2 linked regions of the Caenorhabditis elegans genome follow. The protein of the gene in region 2 interacts with the protein of the main gene of each other region in a pairwise test. Each region holds a gene or a part of one and is shown on either strand. Other genes may lie near its edges.

Region 1 (5,302 bases), on a different chromosome or scaffold from region 2:
ACAATTGCCACCTTTGACCTAATGCCCCCTTAGAACGCGATGCCCCCTCTCACGATGCCCCCTGGGAACATGGGCCGGCAATTTGTCGATTTGCCCATTTGCCGGAAATTTCAATTCTAGCAATTTGCCAATTTGTTGGAAACTTTCAATTCCGGTAGCTTGTCGATTTGCAGAAAACTGCAATTCCGGCAATTTACCAGTTTGCCGATTTGCCGGAAATTTCAATTCTGGCAATTTGCTGGTTTGCTGAATTGCCTAAAATCTCAATTCCGGCTGTTTGTCATTTTGCCCATTTGCCGAAAACTGCAATTCCGGCAAGTTGCCTGGTTTGCCGATTTGCCGGAAATTTCAATTCCGGCTGTTTGTCATTTTGCCGATTTGCAGGAAGTTTCAATTCTGGCAATTTGCCAATTTGTCGAAAACTTTCAATTCCGACAAGCTTGTCGATTATCCAGAAATTTCAATTCCGGAAATTTGTCGATTATCCAGAAATTTCAATTCCGGCAATTTGCCGATTTGCCGATTCGCCGGAAAATTCAATTCCGGTAATGTGCCGGTTTGCTGATTTGCCGATTAATTTTTGAGCTTTTTTGCAATGTTTCCAAGTCAAATAAAACATATTTTCAGATAAAAAAATTTTTTTATTTTATCACTAAATTTTGATGAAAAAAGTATTTTTTGTTGGATAATCACGTGGTGCCAGGCTGTCCCAACACGGTTTGATCTACAAAATTGCGGGAACTTTTCCCGCAAAAAATGTGACGTCAGCACGCTCTTAACCTTGCGAAGTCAGTTGAGAAGTCTGCGTTTCAACTCCCGCATTTTTTGTAGATCTGCGTAGATCAAACCGAAATAAGACTCTGGTACCACGTGTACATATGTGTAATGTTGTTGCATTGCAAAATTCCAATTTCCCCGTAACTCTTTCTCGTCTGCCTAGAAAAGCAAAGTAAGAGAATATTAAATTAGTTGCGCTCTCGGTGCCTCCCCTTCTCCTCCTCTCACCCAATTTCATTCTCAAGCTCTCTCCACAAAAAAAGAGTATTGAAAATCAAGAGAGTTCCTAGAGAAACAAGCAGTGAATGTTTATATACGACTGTCCTTTTTCTCCAAAAATTTCGTCCTTTTCTTCTTCCCCCCACAAACACAATGACCTCCGTCCGAAAAGTTGTCGCGATGTTCTTCTCCCGCCGTCTAACTGCCTGCGTCTCTTCTCTATTTCTCTCCCTCGTTTTCCTGTTCATCACCATCATCATCAGCGGCAGCCGTAGCGGCAAGAGAGAAGAAGAACCGGCTGTTTTTCTGTTTTTTTTTTCTGTTCTGAGGCTTTTGTTACGTGTCTTGGAATTTTTCTCTTTTTCCTTTATTGTGCGAGTGATATGGACTTTTGGTTTTCTTTAAAGGCGCATACGGAAGTTTAAGTTGTTGAAAAAAACATTTGAAAATGTTTTTTTTTTTAATTTCAAAAGCCACGTGGCATATTTACAGCCACTTATCAAAAAAAAAGTTTTTTTACCCAAAAATTGTTGGTCGTTTTTATAGGATTTTTTTTGCGAAATTTTGGAAATAAAATTAATTTTAAAATTTAAACTTAAAACTTTTATTTTAACATTGGGAAAATTTTGTTATTTTCCATAAGTTTCGATAATTTTTGTACAGAAAAATGGTGATAAAATTAGTTTTTCTTCTAAAAATCGGACTTTTCAGACTTTTTTGAATTTTTTTCAAGTGAAAAATTTAAGCAATTTTTTTAAAATCAAGACTGTTTTCAGTTTATTTTTCTATTTTTAGCTATTAAAAATGAAAATTTTCAAGAGAAAAATGTTTTTTTACCATTTTTTCGACATTTTTTCTATTAAAATTGCGTTTTTAAAAACCAAATTAATTAATTGATAAACATGTGCTGTCAATTTCAATGCCAAGTACGCAAACACCACAGCTGCACAGTACCAGATCTACCGTACTCTTCAATTAATTAATTGAAGAGTACGGTAGATCTTGTTCTGTGCACCTGTGGTGTTTGCATACTTGGCATTGAAATTGACGACGCAATATTATCAATTAATTATTTTTGATTATTTTTTCTCAATTTTCAGCCGAAAAAACTCAATTTCTTCGTATAAAATCGATAAATTTCCAGATTTTATGACAGTATCAAACAATGGAATGGCGATGCCGTCTGTTCCGCCAAAAATCGACTGCTCCGAGGCAATTCAGGTAGAAATTCCCTCAAAATACACCAAAAACCTAAAATTTTTGCAGGATTCTCCAAAATTCCGCGCAACAGTCGCTCAACATGCAATGTATTTTAATCGATTAGAGAATCGGCTCAACGAAATGCTCCGACACATCACTGCAATGATTGATTTCAGCAAAAATTATACGAACACGTTTTAGTACGTGAAAAAAATTCATTTTTGGGGTCTCGAAACGATTAAGCTTTCAGATTACTGTATTTTAAAGGCACATAGCGAAAAATAATCGTTTCAAAACCAAAAATTCAAATTTTCTCAAAAAATCCCCGTTTTTTCCAGCAAATTAACGGTTTCGGTGAATCAATTATGCGATGAAAGCTTCTCCGGCAATCCATTGGCGTCTACAACATTCCAAGGATTATCAGAAGCCTATGCACACACTGTTAACCTATTTCGCACGTATTTCGACCATTCAAATGTGGTCACTTTCACGAAACTGTCGAATTTCATTAAAATGTGAGATTTCCGGAGTTTTTTTTGGCGAAAAATCATAAAAATCGATAAATTCTGAGTTAAAAAGGCCGAAAATTACAAAATAACGAGTTTAAGCGAATTTAAATCAAAATTTCGTTTTACTTTAAATTTAGAGGTGAAAAATTCAAATTTCCCGCTGATTTACTAGATTATTCATTCTAGAGGTACAGAAAATTGACAAATTTGAACAATCGAAAATTTTAATTTTTTTTGAACTAAAGGTATTTGGATTGAGCTAAAAATTTTAAAAAAATTTTTGAGCCAGAAAACTTCAAAAAAATTTCTATATTGGAAAAAATTAATTAATTAATTAATTAAATAAATTAAAATTCCTGTAAAAAAATTTGCAAAAAAATAGGCAAAACTCGATTTTTTCTCGGGTTTTTTGGTAATTTTTCAAAAAAAAAATCTTTTTTGAAAAGTTGAATTTCCCGCCAAATTAAAAAAAAAATCAATTTTACGTATAAAACAATATAAGGCAATTTTTTTCGAAAAATAATAAATTTCCAGCCAAAATTCAAGTGTTTTTAACCAAAAATCGCATAATTCACAACAGAAAATTGAAAATTCAATTAAAAATTAGATTTTTCGAAATAAAAAAAATTCAAAAATGTTTCCTCTAAAATCTAATTTAAGTGAGCTCACAAAAGTGGCAGAATCCCGTGCACATTTTGAGAATATGTCCCAATCAATGGATGATGCATTAGTCAAAAATGCGAGTATTTCAAGGCAAAAGCCTGCAGATGCGACAGAAGGGCGAAATGCACTTACTGCGGTGAGTTTTTTGAATTTTCAACGAAAAATATTCGAAATTCTCGATAAAAAACCAAAAAAAAATTCATCCAAATTTTTGAAAAAAATTTCTTTCTAAAAATAGGTATTGTACTGAAATTTTTTTTTACAAATTAAAAAACAGATATCTTTTTTTCGCCAAAAAAATTACTTAGTGATTTTTTTTTGTAAATTTTTAAAATTTTTTCTTCGAGAAATATAAAAATCGTAAATTAATTTTTGCAACAAAAATTATTGATTCATCAAAAAAATGTTAACTTTACTGAAATTTTTTTTTTAAATTTAATTTTTCGAAAAACTAAAAAAAACAGAGAAAAAAACCTAATTCAAAATCGACTTTCTTGAAAAATGCCCATTTTTACTGAAAAGAAATTTAAAAACATTTCTTTTGTAATTTTTTAAAGATTTATATTTTTCGAGAAATATAAAAATCGTTAAAGCGAACAATCAATTTTTTGAAAAAAGAAATATTGATTTATCAAAAAAAGCCGATTTTACAGTAAAAAAAATTCCAAATATATTATCTTCTTTTTTATTTTTTTCAAGATTATTTTATTTTTCGAGAAATTGTTAAAATAAATAATTGATTAATTTTTGGATAAAAATTTAATAATGTTACTGAAAAAAAAAGAATTTTCTGAAAAAAAAAGTCTATTTTTTAAACAATAAATCGAAAAATTTAAAAATGTTCTTAACAAAATCAAAATTTCTGGTTATATAAAACATTCAATTTTGTCGTTTTTTTTTTTGCTTCACCTTAAATAGTTTCTCACAAAGCGTCTCAATTGCAAGAAAAACCACTCAAAAACCCTTAAACAAATAAAAACATTTTTTTTTTCAAACCAAGAAACCCGCTCTTTTCCAGGTCGGCACTTGCTTCGCACACACCACACTCGACTACGTGGCAAATATTAATATTGCACATGCACACAAGGACCATATGATTCTCGATGCGGTTCGTTTTGAATTTTGAAAATTGTTGGTTAAAAAAATTAGAAATTCCCTCGGCTAATGTGAGAGTTATCACATAAAATAACGGAAACTTTTTTTTTCCAAAAATTTGAAAAAAATTCAAAATATTTTATTTTTAGCTGTAAGAGTTTTAGAAAGATCAATTTCTTGATTTTTTGCTCAAAAATTTAAGAATTTATAAATTTTTTTGTAGCCGTTTAACATTTTACTTTTGCCAAAAAAAAACATTAAAATAAAATTTTTAAAAAAATTTTAACTAAAAATTCAAAATATTTTATTTTAAACTGTAATGCATTAGAACTTTGTTAAAAAATTTGTTTTTGAATTTTTAAACTCAAAAACTTGAGAGTTTTGAAATTTTAAATTTTGCGAAAAAGCCCGAAATAAATTTTTTTAAAAGTTTTTTGACTCAAAAATTACAAAATTTCTCAATTTTTAGCAGTTTCGCATTATAATTTTTCACTAAAAATTTCAAAAAAACTTTTTTCCACTGTAGTTATAGTTTTGGTAAAAAAAAATCAAAAATAATTTTTTTCCCGTTTTTTACTCAAAAATTAAAAAAAAACATCTCAATATTAGCCATTTTCCTTTGAATTTTTCTTATTAAAATATTCAAAAACTTCCAACTTTTAGCCGTTTAGCATTCTAAATTTGGTAAAAAACATTAAAAAAAAATTTTTTTTTGTTTTTCGGTCGAATTTTTGATGCCAGTCCTGGTCGTAAAAAATAACTTTTTTTGTTGAAAAAAAAATTAAAAATTCCGGAAAAAACCAAAATTTCACTTTCTTCGAAGTTTCCAAAAAAAAAGT
Region 2 (5,045 bases):
ACAGACTAAAAAACCAGATTTTTGGGCTAAAATACACCAAAAATCTAGATTTTTAGCTGTTTTTAGAGTAAAAAAGACAACAAACTGGATTTTTTGCTGTTATTAGGGTAAAATTACCTGAAAATTTGGATTTTTGGGATTTTTTGGGGTAAAAAAGACTAAAAAACTAGATTTTTTTTGGGCTAAAATACATAAAAATCTGGATTTTTACGATTTTTTTAAAGTAAAAAAGTCCAAAAATTTTGATTTTTTCCATTTTTTAAGGTTAAAATATCGAAAAAAATAGATTTTTTTTTGTTTTTTGGGTAAAAACACCTCAAAATCTGGATTTTTTGAATATTTTAAAATAGAAAACCTTTTTTTATCGATTTTTTCAATAAAAAATTGGGCAAATTTGTGATTTTAAAGTTGAAAAATTGATTTTTCTTCATTTTTTTCATTTTTTCAGTGAAAAAGGAATGAATTTATGAATTTTCGAGTCAAAAACTGTAGAAAAATCGATTTTTCAGCTACTTTATTGAGCTTTGCTCTAAAAAATGAAGATTTTTCACTTTTTTTTCAAGCAAAATGGTCAGAAAATGTAGTTTTTTGGCTTGAAAAGGGTTATTTTTACACATTTTTGACCCATTTTATCGATTATTAAGGTCAAAACAAGCAATTTTGACAAAAAATCAAGAAAAAAACGCAATTTTTTCGGCTTTTTCTTGATTTTTGTCCAAAAAATTCGGTTTTTTCGCTGAAAAACTCGCTTTTCCACGTAGAAACTCGATTTTTGGCCATTTTTCTTCATTTTTATCTATTTAAATCCGCTTTTCCATCGTTTACCTTAATAAAAACCAGCGAAACAAATGTACAAAGAAAAATGTGCTCGGTAGCAGTGATTAGCATAGCCGAAAAGTCGACACGCATCACAATTTCGTTTCTGAAATGTCAAATTTCTTTATTTTTTCCACATTTTTCCAGCTTTTTCCAGCTTTTCCCACCTCGACGGTGGTTTTGAGCAAAAAGAGCAAATTCCGACGATGGCTCCGACGAAAACTAGGAGATTACAGGCCCATAGCGGCGCAAAAACGAATGCGTAGCTGGAAAAATCGATTTTTTCGGGAAATTTCTGATATTTTGAGGATTTCCAACCTAAATGAGACTTTTCCATCGAGTTTTAACGTGAATAATGCCGTGAAAATTAGCAGACAAGCGCAGAGAATTACTTTTCTGGAAAAAATTCAGGGTTTCTAGGTGAATTAGCTCGAAAAATAGACTTACGATGCGTTAAACGATCGGAAAAAGACTCCCAGACTTAATTCCACCATTTTTTGTTCAATTTTTAGCAATTTTTCATGATTTTTTCACTGAAAATCTGAAAAAATTGAATAAATCAATAATAAATTCGATTTATTCCACGAAAAATAAAACACGAAAACAATAAATCCCGTGCGCACCACTTGCAAATAGCACGCGCGCCGCTTGCAAAACTGGGCGGAGCCACGCGGAAATTGATTTTTTCTTCCTTTTTCCGCCGTTTTAAAGCGAATTTTCGCGAAAAATGACTCATTTTTGTTGATTTTTCAAGTTTTTTACTCAAAAATCGCACTAATTTCGGTATTTTTTGCCTAAAAATCACATTTTTAGATCGAAAAATGGGTAAATTCCTGTCGAAAATCTTTGGCAAAAAGGAGCTCCGGATATTAATGCTCGGACTCGATGCGGCGGGTAAAACCAGTGAGTTTTTGGCGGAAATTTCGATTTTTACGGCTAGAAATATGGAAAAAATCGATTTTTTTTCCAGCAATTCTGTACAAACTGAAGCTCGGGCAATCAGTGACCACAATTCCGACGGTGGGCTTCAATGTGGAGACTGTCACGTATAAAAATATCAAATTCAACGTTTGGGTGAGTTTTCCGCCCCAAAAACCCTGGATTTTGGCCTAAAAACCCCAGATTTTGGCCTAAAAACCCCCAAAAACCCCAATTTTTCTTCAGGACGTCGGCGGACAGGACAAAATTCGACCCCTCTGGCGACATTATTACACAGGAACTCAGGCGCTCATTTTTGTGATGGACGCCGCTGATAGAGACAGGTTTTTAGGCGAAAAATGCGGAAAAATTGGTTTTTTTCCTGGACAAAATCGATTTTTTCAACGGAAAAATTCGGAATTTTCAGAGTCGACGAGGCGCGAATGGAGCTTCACCGAATAATTAATGATCGGGAAATGAAGGAGGCGATTATTTTGGTTTTTGCCAATAAACAGGATCTTGCCGATGGTTTGTGGCTTTTTTGGCGGAAAATTTGAGCGAAATGAGCGATGCTACACCTAAAACTCGGAAAAAATCGATTTTCAGCTCAAAAATGAGCGATTTTACCCCGAAAAACTCGGAAAAAATCGATTTTTAACCTAAAAACTCGAATTTTCAGCTTTTTTTGCTTAAAAATGCCCGATTTTACTGAAAAAATGGATTTACTCACTAAAAATGCAATTTTCAGCGATGAAACCACACGAAATTCAGGATAAATTGGGATTGACGAGGATTCGAGACAGGAATTGGTAAGAAACATCAAAAACTCGAGGAAAAACTGATTTTTCTGCAAAAATACATCAAAAAACACCCATTTTCTCTCGGAAAATGGGTAGAAAATGCAGATTTTGGTGTAAAAATCAAATTTTTCCGATTATTTCTCACTAAAAATCTCGTTTTTATGCAAAAAATACAATTTTTTTAAATTTTCTCGGAGAAAAAGCATAAAATAGCGATTTTCGCTTAAAATTCCCTCAGTTTCTTCTAAAAAACCTCCAGAAACGAAATTTTTCTTCTTTTTTTTTAACGGAAAACTCTAAAAATTCGCCTTTTTTTCGGTTTTTTCACCAAATAATTCAGATTTTAAGGCATTTTCATCAGTTTTCGCACTAAAAATCCAATTTTCCACCTGACAACGCTCAAAATTAGAAAATTTATCGTTTTAGAGCCATTTTCCATCAAAAAATGCAGTTTTTCAGCATTTTTTCAGTAAAAATTCAATTTTTTCATCAAAGTGCTTGAAAATCGAAAATTTTCCGTTTTTAACCGATTTTCTAACAAAAATTCATATTTTCAACATTTTTTTTTCATTAAAAATTCAATTTTTCCCTTAAAAAACGCCCAAAACTCGTTTTGCCGGCTTTTCCCGTTTTTTCACAAAAAAAAAACCATTTTTCCATTACAAAGTGCTTGAAATTCGAAAATTCTCCGATTTTCGACCAAAAATTCCAGATTTTCAGCTATTTTAAGCCAATTTTTACTCAAAAACTCATATTTTCCACCTGAAAACGCTCAAAATTCAAAAAAAGTTCCTTTTTTTAACCGATTTTCTACAAAAAAAAAGCAGTTTTTCAACAATTTTTCACTAAAAACCCATTTTTCCTTTAAAAAAAATGTTCCAAACTCGAAAATTGTCGGTTTTTGGCCAATTTTCCCAAAAAAAATCGAATTTTTGCAGATTTTCAGCTATTTTCATCCGTTTTTCACGGAAAATCCAATTTTCTCATCAAAAAGTGCTTGAAATTCGAAAATTTCCGTTTTTACACCGATTGTGCACCTAAAATTCCGGATTTTACGGCATTTTCATCAGTTTTTGCACTAAAAAACCCATATTTTCCACCTGAAAACGCTCAAAATTCGAAAAATGTCGATTTTAAACCGATTTTCACCTAAAATTCCGGATTTTCAGCAATTTTTCCACTAAAAAAACCCATTTTTCCTTAAAAAAAAACGCTCCAAACTCGAAAATTGTCGGTTTTAGGCCAATTTTTCACCGAAAAAATTGATTTTTTTCAGATTTTCAATCAAAAACCTTCATTTTTCACCTAAAAATCCACGGATTTTCACCCATAATTTCCAATTAATTTCTTTGCAGGTACGTCCAACCATCATGTGCTTCAACCGGAGACGGCCTACACGAAGGCCTGACGTGGCTAAGCCAGAATTGCAAGCCGTAAAACACATTATCTGAAGAATTTGGAATAAAAAATTCGCGTCTTGCCAAATATTAACAGTATTTTTTTCACTTTTTATCTGCAATTTTTTCTGTTTTAAATTTTTTTTTAATTCAAAAAAAAAAAAATTTTTTTTTCAAAAAATTTTCAATCCCTTAAATTTTAACATTGTGTGTGCCATGCTTATTCCTATTTTCCCTCTCTTTAATTCACAGAAAATACTCGAAAAAAATGCTCAAAATGCTCCCCAAAAAAATAAATTTCCAAAATTTCCCCCCCCCCCCCCCCCCTAGGTGCCCAATTTTCACTTATTTCCCCACTGTTTTTCCCGAGTTCCCCCCCCCCCCCCGAAAAAAAACACTAAAATCACTGCTTTTCTCCCCAATTTTTGCTCCATGACCGAGGTTTTTCTCGGCCGCGGCGACCTCCAATTTTCTCCAAATATATTCGCTGCCATTATCTGTGATTTTATCGTTTTTTATGGAGAAAAATATATTTAAAAAATCGATTTTTTGGCCAATTTTATAGTTGATTTTCTTTAGGACGAAATATTTTTTGCTGCCAGATTTTCAGATTTTTAGGCCAAAAATTTAAATTTAATATTTCAGATGTCCCGAGTGGTTCTCAACGTGGATAGTTATGAGGGAAATGGTAGGCGCCTACGCCTATAGGCTGAAAATTTCTGAAAAATTGGCATTTTTGGCTGAAAAATTCGAAAAAAAAACGACCAAAAATGGTTGGAATCTGAAATCCACCATTAAAGGGGCGGAGCTTAGCCGGACAATTTTTTAGGGAACGCATATCGCCGGGAATCGAATCTATGTACAATTTCTACAAAAAGCCAATAAATGGGCGGAGCAATGCCACGCCCATTTTCCCGGGGCTCGCAACGAATTTGTTTCCGTAGATCGTGTTCTTCCAAAAAAAAAATCTTCCAGAAATTGAAGCCCCGCCCACAAAATGGCAGGTTCACGATCTACCAAGAAATGGGCGTGCCCTACTAAGCTCCTCCCACTTTCGCTGCAAAAATCGTGATATCCGAATATTTTTCGGAAAAAATCCCGAAATTGACGCTCC

What was found.
Region 1: the proteins of arf-6 (region 2) and cnt-1 interact in a two-hybrid assay, tested with the Caenorhabditis elegans proteins (one study listed by BioGRID).

The regions. Positions count from the first base shown.
Region 1 is NC_003280.10:12,085,705-12,091,006, reverse strand, and holds the start of cnt-1 (Truncated cnt-1), read left to right. Parts: upstream 1-2,138; 5' UTR 2,139-2,145; coding exon 2,146-2,217; intron 2,218-2,262; coding exon 2,263-2,396; intron 2,397-2,534; coding exon 2,535-2,711; intron 2,712-3,365; coding exon 3,366-3,504; intron 3,505-4,386; coding exon 4,387-4,476; intron 4,477-5,302. UniProt on the Caenorhabditis elegans protein: GTPase-activating protein for the ADP ribosylation factor family. Regulates endosome recycling downstream of rab-10 and upstream of arf-6.
Region 2 is NC_003282.8:16,945,491-16,950,535, forward strand, and holds arf-6 (ADP-ribosylation factor 6), read left to right. Parts: upstream 1-1,629; 5' UTR 1,630-1,637; coding exon 1,638-1,719; intron 1,720-1,786; coding exon 1,787-1,890; intron 1,891-1,980; coding exon 1,981-2,078; intron 2,079-2,161; coding exon 2,162-2,262; intron 2,263-2,482; coding exon 2,483-2,543; intron 2,544-3,889; coding exon 3,890-3,971; 3' UTR 3,972-4,244; downstream 4,245-5,045. Other genes in the region: Y116A8C.9 (Transmembrane protein 185B), read right to left, coding at 826-922, 984-1,082, 1,135-1,212, 1,264-1,310; rad-54.B (DNA repair and recombination protein RAD54-like), read left to right, coding at 4,577-4,619.